Alligator mississippiensis: one gene and its partner. The protein of the gene in region 1 purifies or fractionates together with the protein of each later gene. This does not show direct contact. Links are inferred from orthologs where the notes say so. Each region holds a gene or a part of one and is shown in the gene's direction. Other genes may lie near its edges. The genes, in order: RAB6B and SLC12A4.

What was found.
Region 2: the proteins of RAB6B (region 1) and SLC12A4 purify together in Homo sapiens (co-immunoprecipitation; 3 studies listed by BioGRID and IntAct, with this or other methods). This does not show direct contact. The link is inferred for Alligator mississippiensis from reciprocal best matches to the Homo sapiens genes RAB6B and SLC12A4.

The regions. Positions count from the first base shown.
Region 1 is NC_081830.1:30,387,164-30,403,552, reverse strand, and holds the start of RAB6B (ras-related protein Rab-6B), read left to right. Parts: upstream 1-7,748; 5' UTR 7,749-7,834; coding exon 7,835-7,904; intron 7,905-16,389. UniProt on the Homo sapiens protein: The small GTPases Rab are key regulators of intracellular membrane trafficking, from the formation of transport vesicles to their fusion with membranes. Rabs cycle between active GTP-bound and inactive GDP-bound states.
Region 2 is NC_081833.1:45,497,083-45,513,069, forward strand, and holds the start of SLC12A4 (solute carrier family 12 member 4), read left to right. Parts: upstream 1-10,083; 5' UTR 10,084-10,158; coding exon 10,159-10,291; intron 10,292-15,987. UniProt on the Homo sapiens protein: Mediates electroneutral potassium-chloride cotransport when activated by cell swelling. May contribute to cell volume homeostasis in single cells. May be involved in the regulation of basolateral Cl(-) exit in NaCl absorbing epithelia.

The DNA.
Region 1 (16,389 bases):
TCATGCCTTCCCATCTGACAGTGGCATGCTGTTTTGTGGTACAACCACAAAGGAGTCACAGCGCCTGTTTTTCTTGTGGCACTGTGACTCCTTTGTGGTTGTAGCCCTAGTGTGGTTAGCAAGGGGCTTTCTGGCATAAGCATTAGCTGTCAGCTTCAAAAGCAAGCAAATGGAAGCCCTCCTGGCACTTGGATCTGGAGCACTGCTCAGAGGAGGAACAATCCTGGTGCCAGTGTCATTTTGATTGTTTTTGAGACTAACAGTAGCAACGGAAGGTGCTCTGTGTGTATCGTGGGACTGAGAGACCCAGGTTCAATTCCAGGTTCAGCTCTGCCTCCTGTGATGCAGTTAGGCTGTGTATTTGAAGATCAGAGCTGTAGTGCTCCATCTCTCCTCTATAAAACAGCTGTTATGGTGTCCTACTTGCCAGGCTGCTGCGAGGCTACCAATGTGCTCAAGATGGCTTAGGTTGGTTGATGAAAGGGGGAGCTGATAAGGACTGAATAAAGTAAAGAAAAACAAACTAGTATTGGCAGTTAGTAAAGTTTGAAAAACACTGATCTAAAGCTTGAAAGACAGTAAGAAGGGATGCAGCTTCACTAGTAAAATAACTAGCAGTCTCTGAATGCAAGAACCCAACAGGAAAACTCTTTGGAGAGCATGAATGCAAGTCAGCCAAGACTGTGACTTCTGTGGTAGACAAAGGTTTCCTCAGGAAGTCTTCTCTCACATGCAGATTATAGTCTGTGTCATGGCCTTGGCTGAGATGGTGACTCTATTCCAAAAAGAATTGTTTTAAGATATGGATGCATCTGAAGGAATTAAACTTCTATGGTCTCCAACCATGAGAACCTATTTCAATTCCTGAATTCTCCAACATGGAGACTGGTGTGTTCATTGTCATGAGCCTTTCCAGGTCTGGGTGAACTGGAAATGCAACAGATGGAGTCTGTTTACCTTGTGATGTGTTTTGGATAGTTGGTGCCGTGTCTTTGCACATAGATACGGAGATCATAAGCTGTGAAGATCTCTTGAAATGGGTAACTTCTATGACACAACAAAAATAATGACTGGGGAAGCCAATACCATCCAACCATTGGAGTGTATTGAATGATTCCCTCCTGATTGCATGGTTACAGAATTAGTCTTTATTCTAGTTTGGCAAATTGCATCCACAAAAGGGCCTGGGAGTGACTAGTTTGGGACTAGTGTGTGAGAGATGCAAAATGCAACTTTCAATGATGGGATTTGTTGCTCTGAATAATCAAGGTACATTATTCCTTTTGAGGCAAAAAACTTAGTGACAAGGCACTTCACGCTTCGTGAGGGGTTCATGTACAGGGTTAGGTGGGGGGCAGGGGATAGTGCTGACACTGGCAAGTTTGCCTCAGAGAAGCTGATAAGTACCTTTGACTTTTTTGGGTTTCCTTTTATATAATAAAAGGAAATTTTATTGCATTATTTTATTGAATAAAATGCATTTTATATGGGCATTGGTTACCATAGGGTGTGAAAGAACAAGCAGGTGGGCTTAAATAAGGCTCTGCTCTCTCTCTGTCTCTTTTAGCCAGTTTGCTAATTCCTGCACATGACCCACCTGACACATCCCAGTTGGTTTATCAGACTGGGTGGTGCTGGCTGCTACAGTGCCAGACACTGGCAGATGCTGCATCATGGGCAAGACTTCATGTCTTATGGTCATTAAGGGCCACAGTTCTAACACCACAGACATAATGTCACATGGCCACTTGGACAAATGTGCAGAAGTGCTTGGATGCACTCGCCCATATGGCACACACAGAGGTGATTACATGTGAAATGGAGGTGCATGGCTCCTTTAGCACATGGACACAAGGTGTCTTCTCTTCCAAAGGTGGCTCTAAAAAGCTCTGTGAACTTTCTTCAAGAGCAGGAGTCAGAAGAGGAGAGCCCCAGTCCAATTTCTACTCAAGGAATTGTGTTTGACTGCCCATGGTTCTCTCTGCAATTCCTATGTCATGTGGTAGACTGGTCCCCTTGCTGGCCAGTGACCTAGTGGTAAAGCACAGAAGTGGGGGTCAAAAGGCCTTGTTGGAATTCTGGATTTGTCACCGATTTAGGGGCTTCACACTAGACCCCTCACCGTGCTTCACAGTTTCCCACCCGTACAATGGGTATAATGAGGTTGTTTGGTATTTGAGGAAACCGTGATCTAAAAACAGCAGCCAGCGCTTGCCAGATGTGTGGAGTCCTGTAACATAGCTACATCATATCAGGCATTCTTAACTGAAACCTTCTTTTTTCACTAGTAAGAGAAAGCTCCTCTCTGGCCCCACTTGTAGGCCAAAACCTAGGCCCAGTTTTACAAAGGTACTCAGGTGCCAAACTGACCTCTGATTGTATTTATTTCTGTTTTTAAGACAAGGTGTGTGTCTACATATTAGTTCCGCATCTACATACCTTTGTGAATCAAGCTCCTAGACTCTAGTGGGAAACCTGGTGCTGTAGAACTAACCTTGGTAACAACACTGAACCCAGTACCATGCTTGGGGCAAGTAAGTCTTATGGGTGCCATGGTGGCAAAGGCTTAACTGTCCAGGACTGTGCATGAAGCAGTCTTCCCTTCTCCTTTTCCTTTCCCCCTGCTCCCTGGTACCTTCTGCCTCTAGAAGCTCTGGCCATGGGCAGTGCATGGGAGCTGCAGCTGAAGTTTGCTGCAGCAGATGCCCATGTTGAGTAGGCAAAAAAACCTTCCTTGTTTTGGTGGCAAAAAAAGGGTGACATTACCCCCACCCTTAGAGTGGTAATGGAGTTCGCTGCTCCACAACTTCACTTCGCAGAATGAGACATGCTCATTAAGACACACTTCTGCACTGATGCCGAAACATTTTGGGCTAGATTTGGAAAGTGCAGGTGGAGCAGGGGGCAGGACCTCCTCCCCCTGTACATTCTGGCATGTTTTTCCCTTTTAGGCAGGGACTTGTGCCCCACTCTCACACCTGCATTTATGCTACTACACTAGAGCCTGTCTGGTCCCAAGAGGAGCTGCTTAAATACCATGAAGGAGTGGTTTCCAGACACCTGTGTTCCTTCCTTGCCTCTTGGCAGAGAAAGCCTGGAGATGAAGGAAAAGGGATTAAAACCCATTAAGCACATATTAAATATATAAGACAGACCCTGGTAGATATTTGCATAGCAAGCTTGGGGATTTCACTACCCAGCTGTCATAACTGTGGTTTCTGCTTATTTTAAAACTCCCCAGAGCTGGCTTTCATTCTGAAGGCTAGGATTTTCAAAGTCCTGTGATACCCCGTTCTTCATGATTCCTACAGTTATGAAGGTTAGCAGCCACTTCATGCTCTGTTCACTATCCTGACCTTACCTGGGGATTTATTGCTATTTATGTTAATAACTAGAGCCTTTAGGTGTCTCAAGATTGGGACTGTGTTGTGCCAGGTGCTGTATATGTACATTTTAAACTCTCTGGAGGGAAGAGTTTTTGCCCATCTTTCCTAACTAGACCAAAAGTGGAAGGAGAAATGGCACAGGCCTGGAGAATATGCTTCCTTGACAGAGCACAGTGGCAGAGCTAGGAATAATGCTCAAGTATCCTGAGTCCCAAGCTAGTGTGTGTCATCTTTATTAAACCTTGCTGCATATCCTCATACACTAATACTTGCTTATAGCTGTTGTGGTGCATGATGAGCAAGTTCACGGATCAGTAACCCATGAACTCAGCCCAAGCTCAAGAAGTCTAAGAGCAAAGGACTATGGAGAAGCATGTCCTGTGCCTCACCCACCTTTATCCCCAGTGAAGGGATGGTCCTGTTGGCCTTAAGGGGAAGTCTTTCCAGTAGTACTTGATCCAAAAAGAACTGTGGGGGGGGTGGTGCTTGGATGAACATTCCTTGAAGTGTGGGAGAAAGAAGTGAAGGACTTTCTCGGGCAGAGAGGGAAAAAAACTGAAGATGCCCTTTTCCAGCTGGTGCTGTTTGTGCTTTGCCTTCATTTGTATGTGAGATGATAGTTGCCATCTTGCCCAGCATACTAGGGACCTTCAGAGGTAAAGCATGAGCTATTATAGCTTGAACTAAAGAGCCAAGCCCCTCTACCTGCAGAGTCTCTGTAGATTAAGCACAAAGAGCCATTACTTACCAGTGGGTTACGCTTGCATCCAGAAATCAGTCCATTAAAAGTATATACAATGCAGTCACTCTGTTCATTCAGAGACCCCGCAACAAGGAAAATGGTGGTATGGCTTTACTGGAGCAATGTAGTCTTTAATTTTTACTCCCTTAAAAATGTTTCTTATTTAGTGTGTGTGGCTTTTATTACTTTTTTTTTTTTTTTAACCAGTTGGTCCATAGATCTTGTTAGTCACTGAATGGATTGCTGTTGTATTATTTTGACGGTCTCCAGCTGCTGTTTCTTTAACGATCTCTTATTGACAAGTTTTACTGTTTCTGGTAATGTTGCCTTTTTGGTCTTGCATCCAGCTGTGTCAACAGCAAAGGACCTTAGAGGGTGATGGCTTTTGGCATGCAAATAAGGTGCATGCCTTTTTAACGAGTGCTTTCAACAATGTTTTCAGCCTCCATGCAACATTGGTCTTGACGTGAACATGGAGATGCAAATGTGATTCCTCTCTGGAGCCAGCATGGAGCATTTGGACTGAAGTTGTGTGTCTTAAGAACACCTTGTTGCATCCATTGCATCACGTAGGCTGGATGCAGCAAAACCAGCCTGTGGGTTAAAAGAGCACAGTAGACAAGTGGAGTTTCACAATCAGCCACATAGACATCTTTTGATGGATAAAAATGGTCTGGCTTTCTTTCCCAGCAGAGTTATGCTCATATCCCCTGAGGGCACTAAACAGGCCCCCGTGCTATAGTTTTCAGAGATCTTTGATATTCTTGTTTCCTCACAGGGCACATACAACCTCAGGACTTAATGTGTTGGCTTAAGCAGTCGGTTCCAGGAAGTGCCCTTGCAGTGTGCTGAAGGTAAAGATTTGCACCTTAGAGACTAACTAGAACAGATGCACACATAAATAGCATAAGCTTTTGTGAGGCCAAACTCGCTTCATCAGATGCTGTGAAAGGACAGGCACAGAAAATTTGCAGTATGTTGTCCTGTGCTCCCAAACTCCAGTGGGCCTGGTGCACAATTTGGAGCCCTTGCCCTACTGGTATGGCAGTGAGCATGTGCCCCAACCAAAATCAAGACCATATTGTTGTGTTCCATGCATATGCCCAGCTGAGATGGTCCTTATGCTGAAGAGATAAAAAATATAAGTGGGAAGGACTGAGTTGCATCTTAGATGAGAGAGTCCAAGGTCACGTCAACCCTGACCTTGGACCAGTGCTCTAGAGACCTGGCTTCTGTACCTATCCTTTCTCCTTGGTAGACAGGGTGAACAAAGAGGCACAGCAAAATCAAGCCAACTGTAGTGAGAATTGGGTGGAATAAGCACAGGCATACAGTGAAGGAGAAGAACTAAACCATACACTTGAATTGTGGAGCAGTAGGCAACCTCTGGCTTTGTCTCTTTCGAACTAACTGCTAGCTGCTCCCTCACTGAGGGACCATTTCCCAATCCCTAACTACCTCAGCCTCCTTTTAAGAAGCATCTCTAAACTATGACTTCTCTTACTACACCAATGAGCCTGGCCTTGGTTTAACTAGTCTGAAAATAAAGCCTTGTTCCACTGATAAAGGCACTTGGTGAAGAGAGATATAGGGCAGCTGTCACCCCTGTCTGCTGATATCACACCAGTAGGTAGCCCTTCCTTCTGACCACCACACTGCTCTTGCTTTGCTAGGTGGCACTGGGGTGTCCTGCCCTAATACGACCACGTGTCATGGTGGGAAAGAAGGGCTACTTTGAGCAGCAGTCACTGGTGGAGTCCCAACCCATGCCAGTTTTTCCCCTTCTAAATCAACTTAATGTCATCCCACCCCTGATAAGTAAGGGAAGCAATACTGAAGTAAGGAAAACTGTAAGTGCATCCATGGTGAATAAACAAGATGGTTGAAATTAATCTGTGATCTAGCAGCATTGATCTCTGGAGATTTATATATTGGCTCGTCCTGTTTGCTTTTGATTTCATTTAACCTATAACATCTTTAAAAAAAACCCAAAAAGCATGTCCATTTCAAGAACATTGTTAGTCTGTGGTTCCCTATAACTAACACTGTGCTTGGGAATGAATTTGGCACTTGAATGAAAAATCAGGCTGAAGAAATGTAGGTGCAGGATAACAATAAGCAGAAATACGTCTGGGTGGGAAGAAGTATACAGGAATAGTTTCCACTTCAGTTGGGATATTTGTAATGTTCTTTCATTAGGAGCAAAACCGGGCAAAAGGAGGACAAGGGAGGAACAGAAAGGAGCCTACAGAATTTGAAATAAAGTATAGAAATGAAAGGAAAGAAAAGATTTGACTTCAGAAGAGTGGGGAGAATAATCCCAAATCTTAATATTCCATTGGAGGAATCCAGCTAGCAAGTAGAACTGGTTAAAGGATCTCACTGTGAGAGAGGGCAGAAAATTCAATATGAACAATAGCATGATGATAGAGGCAGGGCACATTTGTCCTGTAAACCCGAGGTGCCATATCATGGAAAAAAGGAGATTGGCCTTCTGAGACCAGGACTGGGATTCTGGGGCTGTGGCAGCCAATTTGTGAGGAAAGATTAATGCATTAAATAAAAGGGCCTATTTAAATGATGACTGAGGGAGCTTTGATAGATGTCTGCAAGTACTTGAGAGGTGTAAGCAGTAAGGTACTGGAGAAACTTCAATGCTCCTACCAGATTTAATTAAGAATAATAGCATGAAGCTGAACAAAAGGAAATATAGTCTGAATATCAAGAGAAAAATTCCTAACTGAGAGGTCTATTAAACTGTGTTAGAGCTTCCCAGGGGATATGGTGGAAGTCTCGTTGCTGGAGTCATTTGAGATTACACTGAACAAAGCACTTGACAATACTCTGTTGGAGAGAATCCTATGGCTTCTGGGAAAGAGCTGAGGTGGGGAGATAGACTATTTTCTTTCTCCTTTCTTGCAGTCACTCATTATAGGCATGAAGTGGGAACAGAAGATGAAGCTAGGAATGAACCATCTTTGCTTGTGCTCTTCCATGTCCGTCTCATCGCAGCTTGCGGGTCTGGCAGGCAGGCGTGGGTCTTGACAAGAGCAACGCCATTTTTTTTTTTTTTTTTAATCCCACTCTGAATCCATCTTGGTCCCATGTCCTTGTGCAAGGACATCAAGAGGAATGGGGCAAACTCCAGCTGAAACATCTATCCATCTTGGTCCCAGGTCTTTGTTCGAGGCCATCAAGTGTAGTGGGCCAACCTCCAGCGGGAACATCTGTCCTTCTTGGTCTGAGGCCATCAAGAGAAGTGAGCCAACCTCCAGCAGGAATTTCTGTCCATCTTTATCCTAGGTCTTTGTCTGAGGCCGTCAAAAGGAGCGGGCCAACCTCCAGCAGGAACGTCCGTCCATCTTTGTCCGAAGCGGTCAAAAGGAGCAGGCCAAACTGGAGCGGGAAGGTCTGTCCATCGTGGCCCCAGGACTTCGGCCCATTGCTCTTGGCGGCCCGGCCCTCGGGCAGCCCCGGCGGGAAGGCGCGTCCCTCTGGGTGGCGAACCGCGTGGCAGGCGGCTGGTCCCGGGGGGGGCGGAGCGGAGCGGAGCCGGGGGGCGCTGGGCAGGTCCCGTTCCCCCCCCGAGGGCGGTGCACGGCGCAGGCGCGGGTGCGGGCGGAGCCGCCGCATCCCCGCCCGGGACGGCCCCGGCCGAGCCGCAGCCGCTGCTGCATCCCGTCCCCGTTCCCGCCCCGGCTGCACCATGTCTGCGGGCGGCGACTTCGGCAACCCGCTGCGGAAATTCAAGCTGGTGTTTCTGGGCGAGCAGAGCGGTGAGTGCTGCGGCGGGGCGGGGGCTGCGGCACCCCGGGGAGCCGGGAGCACCCCGCGGGATGCGGACCCGGCGCGACACGAGCCGCGCCAGCCTCGCTGCTGGGGCCGCCCGAGCACCCCGTGGGTGTCCCGAGGGGGCCGGCCGCGCAGATGCGCCCCGCCGCCTGCCCCCCGAGCCGGAGCCGGAGCCGGAGCCGCACGCGATGCAGTGTCCCGCGCAGCCCGCCCGGGACCCCCAGGACCGAGCCGCGCCTGCTTGCCTCCCCGCCGCGGGCGGCTCCCCGAAAGGCGCCTGGTTGCAGACTATAAGGGGCGACAACACGGAAAGTCGCGGGGCTCAGTGATTATTTTATAAGGTCCCGGGTGGCCCGGCGTACAGCCGCCCGGAGCGGGGAGCTGCTGGCGGCCGAGAGCCCGGTCGGTCGCAAGCCTGCAGCTCTCTGTTGCGGGTTGCTGGGGCTTTCAAAGCAAAGCGGTGCTGCGCCTGTCTCGCAGCCTCTCTGACCAGGGAGGGAAGGCGGGCGGCACGGAGGTCCCCCCTGGCATCTGCTGCAAGGTGCTCTTTGGTCCAGATCTGGCAGCTGGCACCATCTCCATTTGCCTTCTCTTCAAGGCAGGGCTTGGCTTTTCCAGGCGTGGGTGCTGGAACAAAAGATCGCTGGACCGTCCACCCTGCCCGTTCTGCAGTGCCCTCCTCTCTTCCCTGCTTTGCTGCTTTTTTTTGTGTCAGCTCTTCCTTACCAAGGGCAGCCTCGTGCAGAGGATGCCCTTTCTTCAGCTTCAGCTACCTTCTTTAATGGAAGCTGCATACAGGATTCCCAGGTAGACAGGCGTTCATGGGAAGGACATACAGAAATACCCACAGGAGAATCCACCCATTAGCTTTCTGGTTGTGGTAAAGGCAAGGGCAGGGAAGCAGACCAACTTCTCAGCAGCTGCGTATCATGCACTTCTCCATAGAAGACGAGATACAGCCCCGTAGCTTTGCAGGCAAATTCCCCAGCCTGCCATAGCTAGGAGTGCTGTGACAGGCTACACAGAGCTAAGCAGTTTTAATTATTTTTGGAGGTGCTGGATGAATATGCTGTCACATAGAGCAGGGACCAAATGATCTTGGCTCCACATGCACAGACACAGAGCTGCATTTTAAAACCACTGTCAAATCTCTTATTTGCCTTTATCAAAACAAGAACCCCCCAGCTGCTGGTCAGTGCTCACAACCTTTGATTATTCTCTCCTCCCTGCCCTGGGCTTCCATGTTTTGCTTGCCCAATAGTGGCTGGCCGGATAATTGAGAAGAAAAGACAGCTTGACACTTCTGCTGTTTTCCTGACAACTTTTATGCTGCTGTTAAAATGGTCCTTCCCTGGCTTGCTCCAACTCAGTTGCCTTGCTCAGGGGCATGTTCCCAGCCTAGGGGCAGGGGCCGGGGCCGGGCAATTGAGATTGACGTGTTGTCTGAGCTCTCTAGCTCTGAAAACCCAGAGGGCAGGATTTTTCCAAATGCTCAGCACTGGTTTAATTCTGCTCTTATTGAAGCCACTGGTCATTTATTCATTGACTTGACTGGGTGCCGAGTTATGTCGATGCTGTGGACGGTCAAAAATTCCACTGTAGTCTCTGAAATTGTAGGTTTTTCCACTAATCAATCCATGGTGCTGACAATACAGCCTGTCTCCTCTAATTAGCAACGCTGTTCTGAGTGGGCTAGCCCTTGGCCACTGAGTAGAGAAAGTAGCCAGCCACATATTCTTCCCCAAGAGAAAGCCTTGTCTAGACCTCCTTGCTCATTCTCCCCCTTCCATGTGAAATAACTCCCCTCAGTATGTAGGCTCCAGTATTTCTCCCTCTGATGGCAGATACCACATCCTAAACTAGCCAATTTGGCTGCTTTCTGGCTAGCAAATAACCCTCTGATAACCCACAGTTGGTTGCTGTCAAAAGCCCAGCAATAATTGAAACCGGACCACTTTTCAATAACGTTTCCCACCCTCCATGTCCCCAGAGTGGAATTTCCAAGAAACGGGGTGGGGGGCAAGCTCATTAAGCTGCGTTCAGTCAGTGCGGAGCCATTTCCAGACAAAGGCAGCCTGTGATCAGAAGCTGAAGAACGTTACCTTGAAAGGTGTTGCTTGTCTGTAAGAGGGGGAAAAGGTTCACTGAAGAAACCTTCACAGCTGGTATGTTGAGGCTGATAATCTGCATATCACAACGGTCCTTTTTATACTGCTAGCATTTTGTCTGTCTGGTTGCCATCACCATGGTATCTGATCACCTTGCCTTTCACCTCCCCAGCATTATTGATTTCCCCAGCTTTACATCATTAGAGGGGGGGAAAAAGTCGTGGGAGTGCTCTTACCATATATTGATTTACAACTGGTAATATTAACCAGCTTGAAACAAAATACCGATGTGCAGAGAAGCACATGATTATCTTCTTCAATACAGTGTTTGTTTTCTTTTATAGAAAAGATGAATACAAGTGAGGAGGGCGGAGGCTGCTTGGTAAATTAACGTTTGCAAACTTCACTTTGATTCCATAATTGCCTTTTTTTCTTAAGAGGTTCCTCAAAATCATGGCAGTGTTTCTGCTGTTCAGATCTGCAGATTTCCTAACTGTAAGAGTTTATTAGAGGAACCTAACAATTTGCATTATTTGGCCTACTCTTTTATTCAGAGTTTAGGCTACTCATTGTCTCTCCCAGGCATCCTTTTATCAAGAGCGTGTTCAGCAGAAAGGTTCCTGAAGAGAAAGGATACGTTCTGTTGCTGCAGGCACTTCCCCGAGATGCGTGTGCACACCTTTGTGTACAGATCACTATTATTTTTCTCTCAAGATAAATCCCCTCTCTGCAAATAAACCAGCTCACTTGGATGTGAGACAGAGAAAGCCTTGAGAATCTGAAGCAGTTGCATCAGCTTCTCCTCATTTTATGCTAGTTCCTTGTCATTCACCTTTCCACTGTATAGGAGCTGCTTGATGAGGATGATTGTAGATCTCTTAGCTGCTTTCTCAGCATACCTGACAGAGGCAGGAAGGGTTAAAAATCTCCCTGTCAGTTCTTGCATAAAACTGAATCCGGCACATCCCACCAGAGCCAGAATGGGGAGATTTCCCCCCCAGGCAGTGAAGACAGTCTGATTGAAGTGGTATCGATTGGCGGCTGTGGAGCTGTGTGAACTCAATTTTACCAGGACATGCAGCTGATACCAGAGGTGGCTCTCCGATGCACTTGAAATACACAGCCACATGGGGTAGGAGCCAGAAGGGACAATGGCTATTTGCAAGGGGCTTCATTTTTTCTCCTGCAAAAGAAGTCACTGCTCCTCTTCTCCCTAATGTAGCATCCTGCCTGCATCCTTGCCCTGCTGAAGTGTCCTGGGTTCTTAATGACAAAGGACAGAGCTCTGGTTCTTCAACTAGTGATAACCCTTCTGCCCACTGTCACCCAGACGAGTGGTGCTATGGGCATCTTAGCACTGAAGTGAAAACCTGAAATGTGTCTTCTGTTAGTGAAAAAGCCCAATATAGGACTTATGGTCACTTCAGAAGACCTAAGTCTGGCTCTGGTTTGGGCATCCTACCAGCCCACTGTTTCCTATGATCTGATGTTATTGCATGTACGAGCACCCATAGGCAGAGAATGAAAGTGGTTTATCCAACAACAAGGCTAACTTGTTTTCCTCCCACTGGATTTTTATTTATAGTAATGTTCCCATCCAGTTTTTCAGGTCAGCTGGATCCATGCTGCTGTCAGTCATGAGAAGCTAGGTGAGCTGAGCTGGATTCTGAGTTCTTTTACATGGCTGCATGTCAGGAGGAGCCCCACTGGTGTCAATGATGTTATACTGGTGAAACTGAGCTGGATATCATGTGTGCATAGTACTGGAAGACTTTTCTGAGTTACTAGATTGTCTTAGTTATAGTGCTTGGGGGAATAGCCAGGCCAGATTTTTAAGCCAGAAATCTATTTAACTGAAAATCTGGGTTTTGATTAGCTCATACATTTTGTGAGTTTGTGATCTTTTCACCAAATTGTTTCTGCTCACAAAAAGGCTTAAACAAATCTCCAGCCTCTGGGGGAAAAAAGCTGAAACCACTTTCAGTTTTTTGATTAGGAATATCTTGTTTTGAAATGTATTTCAGTGTTACAAACCAGAATGTTTTAAAATGTTTCCAGGACCTTGAGATAGAAAGTGTGTGCATGTCTTTGGGTTGAACAGAAATGCAAAACTCTAAAACTCTTGATTCAGAGATGATACCTTTTATTAGACCAACTAAGAAATTGCATTAAAATTAGGTTGAACAGAACATTTTCATGCCAGGAGTTTTAAAAAAAAAGAAAAAGAAATTATCTTTTCTGATATTTCAGAGCTGCTGCTGAACTGAAATTTCAGTTATTTCTTCAATTCTCCCTGTGACATATCAGGAGCAGGTCTGGTCCTTAAGAAAAAAAATAAAATTAAAATTGTGATGACTTTTGTCACACCCACTCATCTGCTCTGCCATGAGAGTGCTGGAGGGCCTTTCTTGACATGCTGGTGGGACAAGGGAAATTTCAGTCAGTCTAATACAGTAGGTTTTATTCTTCTTTCACGCTAGTTTCATGCCATTCTGACTTTGGTGACTAATTTGCACTCATCTAAAAGGAGAATCAAACCTAAAACATATAGACACCTGGTTGGTCTTCCAATGCCTACAAAAAAACAGCTTGGCTGCCAATGGGCTGTGGTGACCAGTATTGTCCCATTGCTTTAGTTATGCTTCCCTGTTTGTCGGTATTTATTGCTTGTTTCTTGTTTTTATGCTTGGATTGTAAGACCTTTGGAGCAGAGACTTTGTTCGGTATTTGTACAGCACCTTGCACAATGGAATCCTGCTCCATGACTGGGGATTCTGGGGGCTATTGCAATTTAAACAATAAATAATAAAATCAGTAATTCCTGCATCTTGAAAATCCAGGCTTACTGGATGCATTGTTTTGTCTAGGCTTGTGTGTTGGTTCCAATGGGAGAATACCCCCTTCCGACCTATTGCCTTGAGACCAGTGTGTGCACCTGTTGTGTACCAGTTTGAGTGTGAGAATTGCTTGAATTAGCTCTGAGGACAGTCTTAGTTCAACTAACCTTGCTTTGTGAGTTCAGCATAAGGACGATTGTCTCTAACTTCATGAATTAGTTTCAGTGAAGACCATGCAAATCAACATAAGATGGATTGAAGAATGAAGTTGGCTATGGGGGAAGCAAGCATAAGGCTTGGGAAAGGGTCAGTTGGTTGATACCAAGCTTGCATGTCCCTCCAAGTTCAACATTTCCCTTAGACAAGGTCCTGTAAATTAATTTTTGTTCATTCGGTTGTATAGATGACAAATAAACCATTCGCCTTTCCAAAGACACTTAGTGCAATATATCTCCAGAGAAGTTTCATGGTAATTTAACATCTAAGTGTTGAATTTTCCAGATAATGGGCAATTCCTGCAATGGGTTATAGATCCGCTTTTTTGTAAATAGCCAAACAGTGAATTCATATAATTTTTCACAGCAGATCTATTGATGCAAGAATATGTGGTGTCTATGACCAGGTTGGCTAGTTACAGGTCAAAAAGCACCACTTTCTGTAGCTGGGGGGTGGGTGGTTATTAGTAGCAGTGGGATTAGGGGTTGGGAGGGTGATTTTTTTTTTTTTTTTTAATTTTTTACATTGTGCATGTTGTATTGTAACTCTGAGAACAGAGCAGGGCGATACATCTCTCCAGAGAGGGTATTACAATACTTATGCACCACTCCTGCAGCACTGCTAACTGAAGGAGTATCTCTCAGAATACTAGTATGGCCTGAAACATGCTGATTGTTTGGTGCCATGATTTGTTTCTGAGCAGGATTTATAAGACTAGAGACACCGTGCAAAGTACTATTTGCTGTTCCCATGCCTCACTGGTTGTTTTGAAGGTACCTATGAAGAAAAACAGTGTAGTAGGCACTTCTACAGTGATGTATTGGTAACCACTTGGTACTCTGTATCCCAAGGGGTTCATTTTGATTCAGCGTAAGCAAAGCACTTGTGGGGCATAAAACATAAGAAGTCCTTGGGGGGCGGGGGTTGAAGTGACTGACAGCAGCTGTTCCTCCTCATTCACACTTGGCCAGTATAAACAGACTGATGAATAATATTTATGCCACCATTATTTTGGACCTGCTCCATTACATATTTCTGCATGTGGCACTTAGGTACAACGCCTTGTCCTTACAAAAAGCACACAGACACAAGTTCTTCCTACTGTAGTCTGTCTCTGCTCCCACTGTCTTGGCTCTCCCAATCTACCCATCAGCTTTCTTTTTTCACCCCAAACCACATACCTCCAATTTATCAGGAAGCTTGGAAATCAACCCTCCCTACTTCTCATAGCCCTTGCATGCTTTCTTAAATGACCCTAGATCCCCTTATAGGCATTACCAATGGATTGTGAATGTACCGGCGCATACTTGGTCCCATGGGCTACCTCATACGTTTAGTGCCAGACAAGCGCTATAGTAAAGTTTCCATGAGCATTCAGTGGCATTTTGAAGGCATTCCCTTTGGTTTTATTTGCACCATTTGCTCCTAACTTTTATGGCTTCCCACATAAGTTCTACTGAACATAGATGATCCTGGGAAGTGGATTTCAAAATGGTCTGTCTGAGAATAAATGGGAAATGAAGGTTTCAGATGACATATGTGACATCTATTCATATATTCATATCAGAAGTGCTTGTGCACTCAGTTGATTGGAAAAAAAGAAACAGAAGTGTGTGGATGAGGCATGCAGGCAAAATAGATGCTGGTAAAGTGGCAGGCAACTTATCTATGTCCATCCAACTTGCAAACACAGACTTGGGTGGAGTGATCTAGTAAACATTTTTGGTGCTGTTCTGAGCACTGGTATGGGTTGTCCATCTGAAATACTAAGAGAGAAGTTCTCCCATAACCTGTGGGGCATATAACCCTAAAAACTGCAGAACTGACTAAAAAATGATGCAGAGGCTGTGGTTGCTTCTGTGAGCAAACCTGCTCATTAATAATCTTCCTCTCTTGGACAAGGAACACAGCTGCTCAGGGCCAAAAACCAGCAGGTAGAAATGCCTCAGAAAGGAGCTGGAGAATAAGAGTAGAGGTTCTCCCAAAATTGCTCCAGTACGTAGGCACCCAGGGATGCAAAGCTTCTTCACTGAGGGCAGTTACAGGATGGTAGATGGCCTCTTGTGTTGCTTGTTGTCTGATAAAATGCAGTACAGGAGAACCTGGGTGATTTGTGTCTAGGTGGTTTACTACCCACTTAATTTGCAGAGGATTGCTGAAGTAAGAACAAGCTGCTCAGCTGTCTGCTGCTGCTCCTTCACTCACTGGGAGTTCATCAGCGTTCCTGTGCAGCAGATTGGAGAAGCAGCTCCCTTGGAAATAAAAGTGCCAGCAAACAGCTGGAGCACCTCTGCAGTCCTGCACAGCTCTTTGCTGTAGCACTGTGCATCCCCCCCCCTCCCCCCCCCGGATACTTTGCCAACTGTCTTCTTCACAGGGGAGTTAGGAACTTAATCCTGCAAAGTATCTGGGCTGTCCTGTATTTTAGTCTTTTCTGGGTTGTAGGGACAAGCAAACAAGATGGGACATTTAGCTAAACATCTAGATTTTGTCAGTCTCCTGACCAAGGGACTAGTTGAGGGAGAATCTGTAGCAGATGTCTCAGCTCCAATACAGAGGCCTCCAACAGACATACTGTCAGCTTACTTTCATCTGTCAGGCTTCCAGCATCCTTTTTCGTCTCCTCTCTGTGCTATCCACTGTCTCCCAACGCCCCGCAGCACCTTCCATCCAACTGACTCTGCCGTTTCATCCTCCTCCTCACCTCTCTGACACCACCAGGCTATGTGCCTGTGTCTTCTTCATTCCCTTAAAGTCTGTTTTCACAGTGACCTCCACACCACAGTCCTTATTCTCATCCTCTACCCTACTGAGAAGGAAGCTTTTATACTCTGTATAGCCCCAGTGTATTCTGCCAATGCCCTCCATGCAAGCATGACCAAAGGCCTGGGGGCAGAGTAAGTAAAACTTGTAAAAGCAGGTGGGAGAGCACTGGAAGCTGGTGTATGTTGTCAGAACATGCTGGCTCACTGGAAGCTCTGATATTTTTTCCTAGTAATCAGCCCCATCCTCTGCTGAATAGACAGAGTTCCCTAACACCCAGCTGTTCAGACTTTTGTGTTCTGGTTCATAAAATGTAGCCTTCTCCATGGTCTCTGAATACCTTCCAAAGTCAACATGGTGACCAACATCAGCTGTTCCTAACGTGGAGAAAAAGATCACGTTTTTAATGTGGTTCTTTTGTATTTTTCTTCTTTAAAAAAATGAAGATAATGAGTTTTTTGGAGATGAAAAGTGCAGGGGGGAAGTGTTGCATTTGGACTGGACTGCAAAGTTTCTCGTTATGCTGGGTAGCTGTGAGTGAGCCT
Region 2 (15,987 bases), on another chromosome or scaffold:
TAATGCTCTTGGATAACCAACACGGGTTCACTGCAGGCAGATCTTGGCTGACTAACCTTGTTTCTTTTCACGACCAGGTCATCAACTCCTTGATGCGGGCATTGAGGTGGATGTCATCTACCTGGACTTCAAGAAGGCCTTTGACACTGTTTCTCACCCCATTCTTATGAAAAAAACTAGGTGACTGCAGCATTGATGCCTACACAGTCAGATGGGTGGCAAATTGGCTCGATGGTCGCACCCAGAGAGTGGTGGTGGATGGGTTGTTTTCAACCTGGAGGGATGTGGGCAGTGGAGTTCCCCAGGGCTCAATCCTTGGGCCTGTGCTATTCAACATCTTTATCAGTGACTTGGAGGTGGGTGTGCACGCTGTCCAAATTCGCTGATGACACAAAGATGTGGGGAGAAGTGGGCACACTGGAGGGGAGGGACAGAATCCAACTAGATATAGACAGGTTACAGAGGTGAGCAGGTGAGAATAGGATGGAATTCAACTCAGGCAAGAGCAAGGTGCTGCATCTAGGGAGAAGAAACCTGCAACATACCTATAGGCTGGGGAACACCCTTCTCAAGAACACAGTGGCTGAAAGGGATTTTGGAGTCATTGTTGACTCCAGGATGGACATGAACTGCCAATGCGAGGAAGCAGTCAGTAAGGCTAACCGCACCTTGTTGTGCATCTACAGATGCATCACAAGCAGGTCCAGGGTGGTGATCCGTCCCCTCTATGCAGCATTGGTCAGGCCGCAGTTAGAGTACTGCGTCCAGTTCTGGACGCTGCACTTTAAGAGGGATGTGGCTAACCTTGAGAGGGTCCAGAGGAGGGCCACTCGCATGGTCAGAGGGCAGCAGGCCAGGCCCTACAAAGATAAACTAAAGGGCCTGAATCTTTTCAGCCTCCACAAGAGAAGACTGAGAGGGGATCTGGTGGTCGTCTATAAACTTAACCGAGGGGACTAGCGGAAAATAGGTGAGGCTCTGTTCCCTCAGGCACCACCTGGGATAACAAGGAAAAATGGTCACAAATTGATTGAGAGCAGGTTCAGGCTTGATATCAGGAGGCATTACTTTAGGGCTGCCAGGCTCTGGAATGGGTTTCCAAGGGAGGTGGTGCTCTACCCTGCCTTGGGGGTCTTCAAGAGGAGGTTGGATAGATATCTGGCTGGGGTATTATGATCCCAGCACTCGTTCCTGCCCAGGGCAGGGGGTCAGACTTGATGATTTGTTCAGGTCCCTTCCAACCCTAGAAACTATGAAACTATGAATTTTTATTTGTTCACATTCAGTTTGGGTAAAGGGATGAACAATATTTTGAGCTAAATATTTTTCTTCCAATCATTTTTCTCACTTGTCCCCTATATGCATTGTGTTTCTTGACCTTCAGTCTAGTGATTTCATTGGTATTATGAATATATGCAAGATCTATGAGATCAGGTCCTTCACTGTGTAATAATATTTGATTTTCCTAATCTAATTTGCATATTCCATTTGAATTCCAATTGAAACCAGTGCTTTGTCTGTATGTTTGAGAATTGTAGCTTTTTCTCTTTCTTTGAAAATTAGCAAAATATTAGTGGTTTTGTAGGTTGTGCATGTGTTCTGTCTTCCTGTTTCTATGTTCACTGTTTAGTTTGTTTCCAGATATGATTATGAATGAAAATACAACCACAGACTGCTTATATTTGCCTCTAGTATGTCTTAATACAAGCAGACAGGTAACCCATGCACCTTTTTGGTATGTTGTGAAATATTAAGGAACCTAGACTGTGGCAAATGGAAGACTGCCACTATAGACCAGTTGAACAAGTGTACCATTTATGATTACTACCACCACCAGAGGTAACAGCCACTTACAAAATCCGTAAGTAGTAATTAGTATTTACAACCAAGAGAAAAAGTAGGTTGAAATTGCTCTTCTCCTGCAATCTAAATATGATGCAATAAAGGTGCTTTGGGCAAATAAGCTCTTATCTTTACTTATTGACCAGCCCCAAAACAGTAAACATAGCCATTGTCTTTAGAAAAAAAGAATAGCTTTGCCACCATAAACATGCATAGTTTCCTAGGGCCAAATTCCCTTAAGATATGTGGGTGCAATTCCCTTTCAAGAGGGTGGGACTTGCTGGCATATGCCTGAGAGGAGAACTTTTCTTAGCTGGAGGAATTTCAGTCCAGGTACTTAATGACTCCTAAAAATAAAGTGTGGTTCTGCAAAGTTCTGCAACTAACAGTAGCCCAGATCTTCTGCTTGGTATTTGAAGAAAGGCAGCTCCCTGCAAATTCAATTCCAGAAGCAAAACAATTGGAGGAAGAGAAGGGAACTCCTATTCTTGATTTCTCCTTCTGAACACACAGCATGCTGCAATTAAGCTTGAAGCTCACTTACTGAAGTTCCTTTTTCTTGTTCTAGGACAGAATAATTAGACTGACCACTTCAAGCTTAATGATATTAAATGGAAGCCAAACTACCCTTCATGAAGAGTAACATGAACCTGCACAGGATAGTCATTGGGAATCATTGCCCCATAAAATTCTGCTTTTGTTTCTTAGTAATCCCCACATCCCGTTATCATCCTATCCATTTTCTTGGGATTATCCAGTTTTCAATGAAAATTATTATAGTTAAATAACTGTCTAAATTTGGTATTTAGGTATGATATGAGAGACATAATTTAATCTCAGAAGGTTAATATGACTTTTTTGGACACATTTCATTTTAGGTTCTTGACCGTTTTCCCCTGGAGCAACTGGTGTAGCAGAGATGGATTATGGAACTAAATGGAGTACTAATTTGATACTGTAGTACCTGTCTTTCTAAAACTAAAGAAAGGATGGATTTTCAAAGTTTTCACTCTTGGTCTAACTCTACTTTGATTCAAGCTGATGGTAAAACTCCTACTGCCTTCAGTGGGAGTAGACAACATACAGCAGGTAACTACTTCTAAAATGAGAGAACAAAACTGTACTCATAAACTCACAAATGGGGATGTCAGGGGACACTTCTCAGCTAAACAAATAAAACACCCAAACCCAAATGCAGACATAAGTCTGTCATGTATTAACAAAAAGAAAAGATGTAAATACATTTTAGGTTATATAAAACTTTGAAGTCTTAGAAGCCTTTCTACCTGTCTGATCTCAGCTGGGGGGTGTAATTGTTCTGGCTTTCTCTAGAGGTGGTCCATCAGTGAATTTGTGTTAAGTGAACTGAGAGGCCTGCATTCCTTCTGACAACAATCACTCCGCAGCATGTATCCTCCTTGTTTATTTCAGATCCCAACTAATTAAAAGTGGAATTATTATTCAGCTCTTGTGAACAAAGAGTTCTCCCTCATGTCTGTCTCCCATTTCTGCTTTTTTTGAGAAGCTACACATTACTCTATTATTAATGGCAAACTCTGTTCCAGAAAGCAGGGCAAGTTAAAAAAATCTATGACTTATTCCTGTAAGATCAGGAAATGCCTAAAATAGGCCTTCTCCCTCTCTTCCGGCCAGAAGGTTTATTTTCACCAATGGGCTTATGTAGAGCCCAAGCACTTTTTCTTTGTCTGCTGGCAGGAAATATAAAAAAAACCCATTTACATGGCTCATGAATTTACGTGCTACTTTACATACACAGGCAAATTTCCTGCTTAGGAAGTCTTTTTAGTTATAAATCTCTAAAATCAGGTTGGATCAAGCCAGCACTGAATAGTAAACCTCACAGCTGCTTCTCTTGTTCTTTTTTGCTGACCTCATGAGTTTTGCAGAACTGGAAGCATTAATTTAACCAAAAAGGCATCCGGCCTTTTTAAGCTCAAAGATAACTTGCCAAGAGAAATATGAATGTCCAGTGTGTTGACTCTGAAGTTTAATTATAGCATTTTAAATGCAGACCCTATTTTAGGAACAGAATTTCAAAAATAAAACTTCTTATAGTTCTAATATCAAAGCGTAAGATACAGAAAATAATTTGTTTTCTCTGTTTTGTATATCTGGCAACATTTTATGTATATGCAGAAGTGTAACTAGGTGGTATAAGCAAGGCACTGAGCCCCATGCCAACTTAGAGGGGATGCCAGAATGCCCTCCCCTGAGTCTTTGCTACAGCAGGCACAGCCCCATGATGCCCAGCCATAGAAACCAGACAGACCAATACCTAATAGTGCATTGGGGGGTGGGGGGTCAAGCAGAATGGCACCCCCCCTCTGGACTTTTGCCACAAGAAGCATAGCTCCTCACCCAGTCGCATTTTTGGGGGGTCAGGGGGAAACAGGTCACCAGGGTCATGCCATGGGGCTGCTGCAGCTGAGGCCGGACATTAGGAAGAACTCTGTCTCTCTATGGCTGGTTAAGCATTGGAGGCTACCCAGAGAGGTTGTGGAATGCTTGGACGTTTTTAAGCACAAGATAAACAGGCACTTAACTGGGTTGATCTAGTCATGGGCAATCCTGCCTTGAGCAGGGAGTTGGACTAGATGATCTCCTGAGGTCCCTTCCAGCTCTGTTCTAGAATATAGTTGGGTTCACTTAATTTGCCATTTGTGCAACATGAAACCAGAATAATGTTGAGAAATGACTGCAGAAGTACAGAAATAAAGAGAAGAATATGGGAAGAGGTATACTACTTGAAACTTTTTTAAAATTCCTTTTAAAGATGCATCAAATTTTAAGATGACAGTGTCCCTTAACAGCAGATCTTTGGAATATGTAGTCAGTTAGCTATTCTGGGATTTTAATTTAAATAGAGATTATTCTTATTTTCTTTTCAAACACAAACATAATCTTGCAAACTACTGCAGTTTTATGTGAGAGCCAAGCAGGAAAAATTATGCTGAGGGGAAACCAGCATGGATTCATAGTAGGTAGATCATGCCTGGCTAATCTAGTCTCTTTTTATGACTTTTTTTTTTCCTTTAGTAAACATTTTATTAGAAAAACCAGACTATAACAAAAGACTCAAAACGACCCCAGACAGAGGCCTCACAATGGCTAATACAACATTTCAAATAACATAATACAAAACATTGGGATTGATATCATATTGCACGTCGTCTCATTTGTACACAGTATATACAACATCCCTGAGTATTGGCTATCTAACACATATTACACATGTCGTATTAGACATCCTGTACGTCCTCCCCCCCCCCCCCCAAAAAAAAAAAAAAAAAAAGGAAAGCAAGAACATTGTGTGCAATACAGGTCTCTTGTTGTCCCTATCCCATGTGCAACCCTAGCCAGCCTTTTGTACTCACAATGCTGACTCTTAGTTTAGCCTATACCTGTGTGGGGCTGAAACAACCCCCTGAAGTCCAGCTCTTGCCAGAATTTTTCCTCCCCTCCTTCTTTTGTATTTCCTTCTCTAGCTCTATAGAAGTGCAGCTCGTGCATTGCTAACTGCAGACACTCTGTTGTGGAAAAGCTCAACCCCTTTAGAGCCAACAAGGAGCGTACTTTCCATAGTGCTACTTTGGTGCAGGTGATTAAGACCCGCACCCCCCACGTCCCATCCGTCCCCTCTGATAAACCATAGAGAACATTTCTGGAAGTGACCCCCCGTTCCCTTTCCCGTATCCTTCAAATAGGTAGTCACCTTCCCCCACACCCGTTGTGCATAAGAACAGTCCCACAGTACATGTGTCACCGTCCCGGGCTCATCGCAGAGCTCCCTTGGGCACTTGGGGGACCGAGAGAGTCCCCAGTGATAGAGCACCTGTCGCACTGGCAGAGCTTTTCGCACCGCCCTCCACGCCAGCTCCTCATGCTCCCCTTTCCATTCCTTCCCCACCAGTCCTTTCCACACCCTGCTGACTTGCTCCGGTCTCAAATCCCCAACATCCGACATCCTCTGCTTCCCTCTCAGGAAATTGAAGACCTTTTTGGCATCTCCCAGCCCCTCGATCCCTAACCCCTCCAATCCTTCTTTCGCAACAAAGGCTCCAAGTCGGGCATAGGGCAGCGACATCTGCCAAGCCCATGCTCCCTGCCACACACTCCCAAACAGGCCCAGCCTTCTCAGGAGCCTTCCCCCCCAGAACCTGCAGAAATTGGTCACGGTGCCCGTTGCTCCCCTCGCTTCCCTCACCACCATCTTCAAAAAGTGCACGTAAACAAAGGTCTCTATGTTGGGAAAGCCCCATCCCCCCAATCCCTCATCCTTATATATCTCTGTCCTAGCCACTTTTTCGGTCTTCCCCACCCAAAAGAAAAGGCACAAGGCCCGCTGGACCTGCCGGGCCTGTAGCCAGGACGGGGGGTACACCATCGCCGTGTACAGGATTAGTGGCAGCAAGCACTGTTTGATCGCTTGCACTTTCCCCCTCAACGATAACCCCCGTGTGCTCCACAACCCCACCATCTGCTTCACTCTCCCCTCCAACACTTCCCACGCCTGTTTCCCTTTCCCCTGGATATCCATCCAGACGCCAAGCACCTTCAGTTCCTCCCTTTCCACCTGTAGCCCAAGGTTTCTCAAGTCCCCCCAATTCCCTACCGCAAGCACTACGCTCTTGTCTACGTTCAGTCTTGCTCCGGATGCCTCCCCAAACTCGTCTACGTGCTTCAAGGCTCTTCCCAGAGACACCTTGTCCCTCACTACACACGTCGCATCATCCATGTATAGGAGGATTTTCAATTCCCCTCCCTTTGGCACTCACCCCGCTAATCACCCTATCCCCCCTGATCCGTTGTGCCAGAGGCTCGATGGCGCAGACAAAGAGCCCCGGCGATAGCGGGTATCCCTGTCTCACCCCCGAGTCCACAGCAAAGGCTTCCCCCAGGAAACCCCTCGCCAGCACCCTGCTCGTAGCCTTTCCATAAAGTGCCCGCACCCACCCCACAAATTCTCCCAGCATCCCCATCCCTTCCAGGACCCGAAACAGAAACTTGTGCCCAATGCTGTCGTACGCCTTTTGCAGGTCCAGACTCACCACTAGCGTGTTCCAGTTTCGTTCTGTGACATACGACAGCATGTCCCGAAGCACCCAGAGTGCTTGTGTCGTTCGCTGCCCCCCCACTGCGCACATCTGTTCCTCACCCAGCAGCTGCGGTAACACCGCCCCCAACCTCGCTGCTAGGATCTTGGTGAATAATTTATAATCGGCATTCAACAAGGTGATTGGCCTCCAGTTCTTAATGTGCTCCCGTTCCCCTTTCTTGTAAATCAGGACCACGACACCCTGGTCAAAGCCCTCTCCTACCTGACCCCGCACCATGAATTCCTTAGAAAGGGCCAAGAGATCCCCCTTCACTAAGTCCCAAAACTTCCCGTAGAACTCCACCGGGATCCCGTCTCCTCCCAGTGTCTTCTTTAGTGGCATCGATCTCAGGACGCCCAGTATTTCGCTTTCCGTCAATTCCTTTCTCAGACTCTCCCTCCCTTCCTCCCCCACCTTTCTTTCCAAACTCCGCACCAGTCCCTCCACTTGTTCCTGCCTCACCGCTTTCCTATGAAACAAGTCCTTGTAATATCTAGTCACCTCCCGCAAGACCCCTTCTACATCCTCCACCCTTCCTCCATCGGCCATGCGAACCACCTCCATCACCCGCTTTTTGCTTTTCACTCGTAAAGTGAAAAACCTTCCCCATTCCTCCCCCTCGTCCACCCACTGCGCCTTGGCCAGGAGCATCCGTTCTTTCATCCTGGTGCGGAACCACTTTTTCACCCCCTCTCTTGCCCTTTCCCATTCTCTCTTCACTGCTTCCCCCTTCTTCAACTGTTCCCACAATCTCTGAACTTCTCCTTGCAAGCGTACCAGCTCCTTCTTTTTCCGTTGTGCCTTTCTCCTCCCCACGTCATCGAACTACTCTCGCACGCACCCCTTAATTTCAATCCACCAGTCCCACCAGGTTGGGAAAAAGGGTTGCAAGGTTTGCCACTGGCGATACGCACTTTCGAAGGCAGTGCATTCCTGGGGATCATCCAATAAAGAGGCATTTAGTTTCTAGACTCCTTTCCCCTGCTTGAGCCCCTGCCCGATGCCCACCTCTACCCACAGCACACGATGATCTGAGAAACTCACGTCAATCAGTCGTTTCCTGCGGATCTCCAACCCCTCTGACACCAGCACAAAATCGATCCTCGATTGACCTCGTCCTCCCGGATCCACTCTAGTAAACACCCCTGACCCTTCCCAAATGTCCTGGAGCCCCTCGTCTTTAATCCACTCCCACAGCCACTTCCCCATACTGCCCATCCCGACTCCCTGCCCTATCCCAATCCGCCCACACTCTCTTTTTATGACCAGGTTACAAAACACCTGGACGCAGGAGTGGGGTAGATATTATTTACTTAGACTTCAGGAAGGTCTTCAATATGGTACCCCACCCCATACTGGTGAGCAAATTAAGAGGCTGTGGCTTGGATGATTACACAGTCCGGTGGGTGGCAAATTGGTTAGAGGGTCGTACCCAGAGAGTGGTGGTGGACGGGGCAGTATCGACCTGGAAGGACGTGGGCAGTGGGGTCCTGCAGGGCTTGTTCTTTGGACTGATACTCTTCAATGTCTTCATCAGCGACTTGGATGAGGGAGTGAAGTGTACTCTGTCCAAGTTTGTGGATGATACAAAACTGTGGGAAGAAGTAGACACACCGGAGGGCAGGGAACAACTACAGGCAGACCTGGACAGGTTGGACAAATGGGCAGAAAACAATAGAATGCAATTTAACAAGGAGAAATGCAAAGTGCTGCACCTAGGGAGGAAAAATGTCCAGCACACTTACTGCCTAGGAAATTACCTGCTTGGCAGCACAGAAGCGAAAAGGCATCTTGCTGGTGGACGACAAGATGAACACGAGTCATCAGTGTGACCAAGGCATCAGCAAAGCTAACTGCACTTTATCATGCATCAGCAGATGCATGATGAACAGAACCAAGGAGGTGATACTTCCTTTCTATTGGGCGCTGGTCAAACCGCAGTTGGAATATTGCATCCAGTTTTGGGTGCACACTTCAAGAGGGATGTGGATAACCTGGAGAGAGTCCAGAGATGGGCCACTCATATGGTTAAGGGCTTGCAGGCCAAGCCCTACGAGGAGAGACTGGGGCACCTGGACCTCTTCAGCCTCCACAAGAGAAGGTTGAGAGGTGACCTTGTGGCTGCCTGTAAGTTCATCATGTGGGCGCAGAAGGGAATTGATGAGGCTCTACTCACCAAGATGCCCCTGGGGGTTACAAGAAATAATGGCCACAAGCTAGCAGAGAGCAGATTTAGACTGGACATTAGGAGGAACTTCTTCACAGTTAAGAGTGGCCAAAATCTGGAATGGGCTCCCAAGGGAGGTGGTGCTCTCCCCTACCCTGGGGGTCTTCAAGAGGAGGTTAGATAGGCATCTGGCTGGGGTCATTTGAACCCAACACACTTTCCTGCCTATGCAGGGGGTTGGACTCGATGATCTATTGAGGTCTCTTCCAGCCCTAACATCTATGAATCTATGAAAAAGTAACAGAAAACCGGAATGTCCTCTATGGTGGCCACCCTAACATGGAGCCACTGGAGCAGTGATTTCCAACTGGAGTATTGCAGAACCCAGGGGGACTTTGCAATCTTCTCCAGTGTGCTGTGGGGTGCCATGCAATGTTAGGCCCATTAAGGGTGCGAGTAGGATAAACTCAGAGAGCTCAGCTAGGAATCCGCACACAGCCTCAAAGACCAGCTGCCCTGCTGTGGGCTTTCTGAGCTCTTTGCCAGAAGGATGGACCGGGTGTATGTCACCAAACGCGGGGTGGGGGGGAAGCTAAGAGCTGGCATCTTCTAAGGAGGCTTGAGTCTCTGGAGGGCTGCGCTGAGAGGTGCCGCTCCAAGGCCTGGATCTAGCAGCGGGGGTTATGCGCGCTCCTGGACTGTCGGGCTCAGGGAGGGGCGCAGCTCCCCGCCCCAGGCAGAGGCGGTGGCAGAGCCGCCGCCTGGGCCAGGGGGAGGTCAGAGGCCCCGCCGCTCTGCCGCGGGCTCTGCCACCTGCTGTGTGTCCGCCCGAGGGCGAAGCGCCATCCTCCTATCAGCCCAGGCGCTGTCCCGGGGCCGAGCCCCCTCCTGGCAGCCCCGTGCCCAGCCTGGGGGCCGCCCCGGCGGGAGGTGGAGCCCGCGGCCGGGTTTCCCGGAGGAAGTGAGCGCACGGGGCTGGAATGCGGGGCCGGGCCGGGCCGGGCGGCTGCAGACGGCGCGGGGGGAGCCGCGATGCCGCACTTCACCGTGGTGCCGGTGGACGACAAGCGCCGCGTGGACTATGCGAGCCTGGAGGGGCTGAGCTGGGTGGACTACCGGGACCCGCCGGGCGCTGCCGACCCCTATGACACGGCCAGCTCGGACGGTGAGTCCAGTGCCGTCCCGCTCCCCTCCCTCCGCGCCCGCCCAGGCATCCCGGGACCCGCGACCGCCCTTTGTGTCGCCCCTGGGGAAAGCGGCTCTCGGCTTCCCGACCGAGCGCGGCGGCACCGCGTGGAGCGGGCACCCTGCCCCTGCCCCTGCGCTCGTGCCGGGCGGGCGCGGGCTGCGAGCCGGGCTGAGGCGGCCCCGGCACGGCTGGGCGCTGCGGCGAGCCGAGAGGAGCCCGAGCGGCGGAGGCGCGCCGGGACTGGGCAGTTCACTCGGCTCCTGCCCGTGTCCTGCCGAGCCGAGCCGAGCCGAGCCGAGCGAAGCTGAATCCTCCGAGTTTTGGAAGGCAGCCGGCGGGCTCCAGGCGACAGCTTTTATTAGACCAGCTAGAGAGTTGAAAAAAAAAAATCTCTGTGCAAGCTTTCCGCCGCAGGCATCGGATAATGCAAAGATTGTAAACTTTCTCCCAAGTAGAAAATTCGTGTTCATAAGTTTCTACCTGGGAGAAAGTTTACAATCTTTGTATGCTCCAATGCCTGCGAAAGGGTGAATGTGCCCGAAAGCTTGCAAAGAAAAAAAATGCTGTTTGCAACTCTCTAGTTGGCCTAATAAATAAAAGATATTGCCTCTAGCTAGCACACCGGCTGCTTGTATACTTAGACCAACGCAGCTTACAACCTTTATCCCTGAGTTTTGAAATGCTCCTTTCTGCTGTTGGCAAGCTTGAGGCCTGCAAAATGCCTGCTACTGGGAGGTTGGTGCTTTGAAAAAATCTTGCCTAAGGGCTGTTGTTCTTAGTCCTAGTCTTTAAAGGAGTGGTATGATGAGAGATCAAGACAGATGACACATGCATTTCTGGTCATAGTGGTTTTTCTTTGTTCTGTGTCTGTTTGCAGACACAAGGCAGATGTGATGTCTAAGTTCTTCATGCTCACTCACTTTGACAACACATTTGTCTTGGCTGATCTGAGTCGCACTTTTTAATTGAGAAAAAAGTCATTTTAGTAACAGTTCTTCTGATGGCCCTACAGCTGAAACAAAACCAAAGAGAAACCTAGACAATGTCTAATATCTGAATCACTTGTTGATAGTTTGAGTTAGGCTTCAAAACACAGTGAAGTGGCATGTATTGGTTGTTCCTGGATGTGGCAGGATGTTGTGATTTGTGAACGCAAGCTGTTTTTAAAAATGTGACAACTGATAAGAGGTTTGTGCAAATATTTGAAGTGCTCTCTTAATTAAATAAACTCATGATAGTGAAACAACACTAAGCAATATAATCATAGGTTGCTGTTTGATTTTTTTTTTTTTTCCTCACTGAGTTCTTATGCTTTTGGTCTGCAGTCCTGACAGCTATGTTTTATATAAAATCTGTGCTTAAACAATTTAGCCAATACTTTACTAAATCATTTTAGCATTGTACATGAGTTGTTTTTACATTTCTTTTATGAATATCTGCTTCTTGGTAGGTTTTAACGTATTTAATGTAAAAGGATCATGTGGGGAGAAAAACTTTTTTAATGGAGACGACTGTTCAGCTGGTGACACGTGTCAGTGCTCAGCCTCCGGGTGTTCTACTGTGAATTTTAATTAAAAAGTAGCATTTCAAGTGATCAATGCCAGAGATTCATGAAGAAGAGTAGTTCAGGAATAAAGTCGGCATTCCAGGATTATTCTGAAATAGTTGTAGCTGTAAGTGTTGTATTTTCTTTCCCTGCTACAGCTGTGCTGGTCAAGTTTTGCTTCTAAACAACTCGTTTATTGTGTCAGTTCAGCCCTCAGGAGAAAAATCTTTTCACAAGCATAGTAGGGGTATCTTCTTTCAAAAACTTTTCATGATACAAGAAGAATTTACATAATTTTAGGCTTTATAAGACAATGTTAATGAGCCATTCTTGCCCACAGGATTAAGCTTTTAAGAACTGGACATATCTCACCACGAGGCCTTCGAGGGGTGGCTTCTAAATAGGAACGCTGCCCTCTTGAAAGGCCATTGCAACCATTCTCGGTCCTTGACCCTCACTGTAAGGGGGAAAGCATAATATAGTAGTTGGGATGGAAGCGTAATTTGCAAAATCTGGGTTCAATACTGGGTTCAGCTAGAGGCTTCCTGTTTAATCATGGCTGAATTACTCTATACCTCAGTATCTCATTTGCAAAACTTCTTCTCTTCCTTCAGTCCTTCATCCAGTTCTCTACTGGATTTTAATTTTTAGTTTCTCTTGCTCAGTGGCTGGCTCAGTGTGGGGCAGCATCTAGTTGATAAATTATTGCAGTCCTGAAAAGGTCTTTTGGATTGAAGAAAGGGTAAGTGCTGTTTAAAGCTTATCCTTCCGCATACCACAAGCTTAAGTAACTGGCCCCTAATGGCTGTTAGCACTTTAGGATTCGAGGTTGAAGAGGCGTGCTCTAATATGAGCCGGTGTATGGTGGCTAGTATATAAAATGTAGAAAATAGATCTTTTGTTTTAATCTGATTTAGGAGGTTGAAGTAAAAATTGTAGGAAAGTTCAGGTCCTAACTTCTTCCCATGATGGACCAACCCATCAGTTTCTGATCCCTTTTGTGCAGGGATTAGGAAAGATCACTGGTACTGCTATAAATTACTGTAATTTGACCATCCTGGGTAGGAGTGCATGTGGCCTAGTTTTTGTCCTATTAAACTACCACTGAAGTCAATGAATGGGTTTATACCACAGATAGAAGGAGCACGTGACTTTCAAAGTAGCGGTGAAAGCAACATTGCTTTTAAAATAACCAACTCTCTCTCTTCCATGATATCATATAGCTGATGTGAGCTGGCCTTGTTTGTTTTTGCTACCTTTCAGACTGTAGCACAGAATTTTGTAGCCAACTGTATTGCTTTACTTTGAGGCTGACACAACTCTGGTAACTGAGTTGTGTTTTTTTGGTTGAGCTGTACCTTTCTTTACACTAATTATGCAGGTTGGTTCACAGGCGCATAAAGATGTATGGCTTTGCTACTCCTGATGACCCATAAACTCCTTTCCTGTGCACCCACAGCAGGCAGAAGGCTTCAAGAAAGGCAGGCTTTTCTTTTCCACCCTGGCAATTAAGGTCTGGGAAGTAAAGATCCACTTTTCTCACTGGTCTCCTGATAAGTTTCATGACTTCCTGATTGCTGAGAGCAGAGTGCTCAACCCCTGGCCTGTGGGCCAGGTGAGTTTGCCGAGCCATGTCATCCAGCATACAGGGGCCCCCACAGGTCTGAAAACTTGGCAGCAGGAGAGCAGTGGCAGCAATTGCTGCTCCCTTGCTGCCAAATTTCTGGATGTCTGGGGAGACCTGCAGGCCAGATAACAGATTGCTAGATTGGCAAGCAGGGGTGGCCCAAACCTGATCTGGTCACACAGGGGCTGGCTGGAGGCAGTATGGGCCCCAGGGAGATGCTGACCTGGGCCCTGATCTGGTGGAGCCAGGATGAGAGAGGCAGCAAGGGGCCCGACTAGGACTGAAGGAGGCAGTGTGGGCCTGATCTGGCAGTGTGGGGCTGAGGACTTGGGGCTCCAATCTAGCTGGCAGAGTGGGGATGAGGGAAGAGGTGCAGGGCCCAATCCTGGCACATGGGACTGGTCCCTGTGTCACTAACATGGCCCGCAACCACTGGCATGGAGGACCCTCAAGTCCTCTCGTCTCATTTCTGGTTCCTGATGCCTCTGTTACTGCAGGGGGCCAGAAGAAATCCCCAGTATTGAGGAAACCTCGAGTTTGGGGGAATTCAGAAAAGAGTGGGAAGCTCCTATTAAAGGCAGGCAGTGCCACATGGGTCTGTGGTGCCAGCTAGAAACCTGTGGTTCTGCAGGCTTGGAACTAGGGTTGCCAGCCCTCCAGGAATTGGATATAAATCTCCAGGAGACTGCTGAGAGTCACCCGGGAAATAACTGATAGGGCATTCATTAAAATAAATATTAAAGTTGAATCTGATTTATATAGTAGTCCAGCAGGTTTTTAAAATATAATAGTAATGTGCATTTGCCTTCCTGATCTAAAGGCATTAAGGTCCTTATATAATGTGATGAAACCTCCCGGCAGAGATTCAGAGAGAGTTGGCAGCCCTGCGTGGACCGCGGCGCAGGCAGAGGGCGCGCGGGCGACGCTCCAGGGGGTTCCATGGCAGTTGATGATTGTGTGTGTGCAAGAGCCTGGCAGTTGGTGGGATACTCGACACCAGATAAGGTAAACTTTTGTGAAGTTTCATATTCAAAATATGCAGTTTTAGCTTGTGATTCTAACCAACCCCCCCTGTGTTATATGGCCAACTTGTGAATATATGCAAGGGTTGCCTGACAAATGATCTGGCACTGTATCAGGTTGCTCCATGTGGTCCACTGATGCTACTGCCATTGCTACTGTGGTGAAACTGGATGCAGTTATTGTTGTGAATCTCACTGAGCGTGTTATTTTTGTAGCTTACTAGTGGAAGCCATATTTAAGGGCTTTGAAATAACTGAGTTATGGTATGATTCCTCAAATATAAGGTTTATCATAGCAGTACTAACTCAGATGGGCCCACTAGAATGATGATCAGGAAGATACTAGCTTCCAAGTTAAGACTATCCCCAGTACACTTATTTATTTCTTGTGCGGTAAGACAACTTCCTTCCGTTTCCAGAGGAACCTAATTTCTGTACATCCACCCCCTCCCCACACCTTTCTGGGTTTTTTTGTTTCATGGGAGTTTTTGTTCTTGAATATTTTTATTTTGTTTCATACTCGATCTCAAATGATATACTATCATCCAAAGTATTACAGAAACTAGACTGGCATAGAACTTCAGCATTAGTATTTCTTGACAATACTTTGTATAAAAACTGTATAAAAAGATATCCACAAAAGTCCTTTCCTCTGTTGCATATCCCCTGACTATAACATCACTCCAACACTACCACCTTGTATAAAAGCACAACTTAAGTAGCACATTTAAATAATTGCATATTTAATATTTTTAACCTCACAATTGGCATAAATGCTTACATGTAAATGAAACAAACCCCTGCTTGTTGAGCAGACACTATTTATTGTCACAGTTTATGACTAATTATGAAACTTTCTATTTGGAAAAAGTGATATCAAGATGCAAGTTCTAGTTGTGGGTCAGCAGAAGATGCCATATGTGCATTTCCTATTCATTCTTGAAATAAAATTTGTAACTCTTCCCCCCCCCCACCTGCTACACCTGGTTGCCATCCCTGCCACCGCAGTACATGCCTGAACAGCACCCCCCATGTACTGTGTGCACTTGTGGCTCCCACTTTAGCTCCTCAGCTGGCAGCTCACCCATGCCATATGTTGCTCCACCCTGCCCCTTGGCCACAGACAGTCAGTGAAGCCAGGTGGGGGGAGGGAGAGCCCAGAGCCCCAGCTGTTTTGCTGCAGGAACTTTGGAGGGGGTGGGGGGAGGAAGGGTGGCCAGGTGGGAGTCCAGGGGCTGCAATTTAACCTCCTGTTGGTCTCATGCAGCCTGTGGGACATCAGTTGGACAGCCCTGATTTAAATTAAAGAGAGTGGCCTGCCTGATCAAAAAATTATTGATTTCCTAAGTTTCAGTCTTCAGAATTATTATTTTTATTCATTTTTAGAAGACTGGGTTGTTTACTTCACTCATGTGTTTGGTCTCTGCCAACTCAAGTGTGACAATCTATTAAAGGTGCACTGATACATTGGTCCATA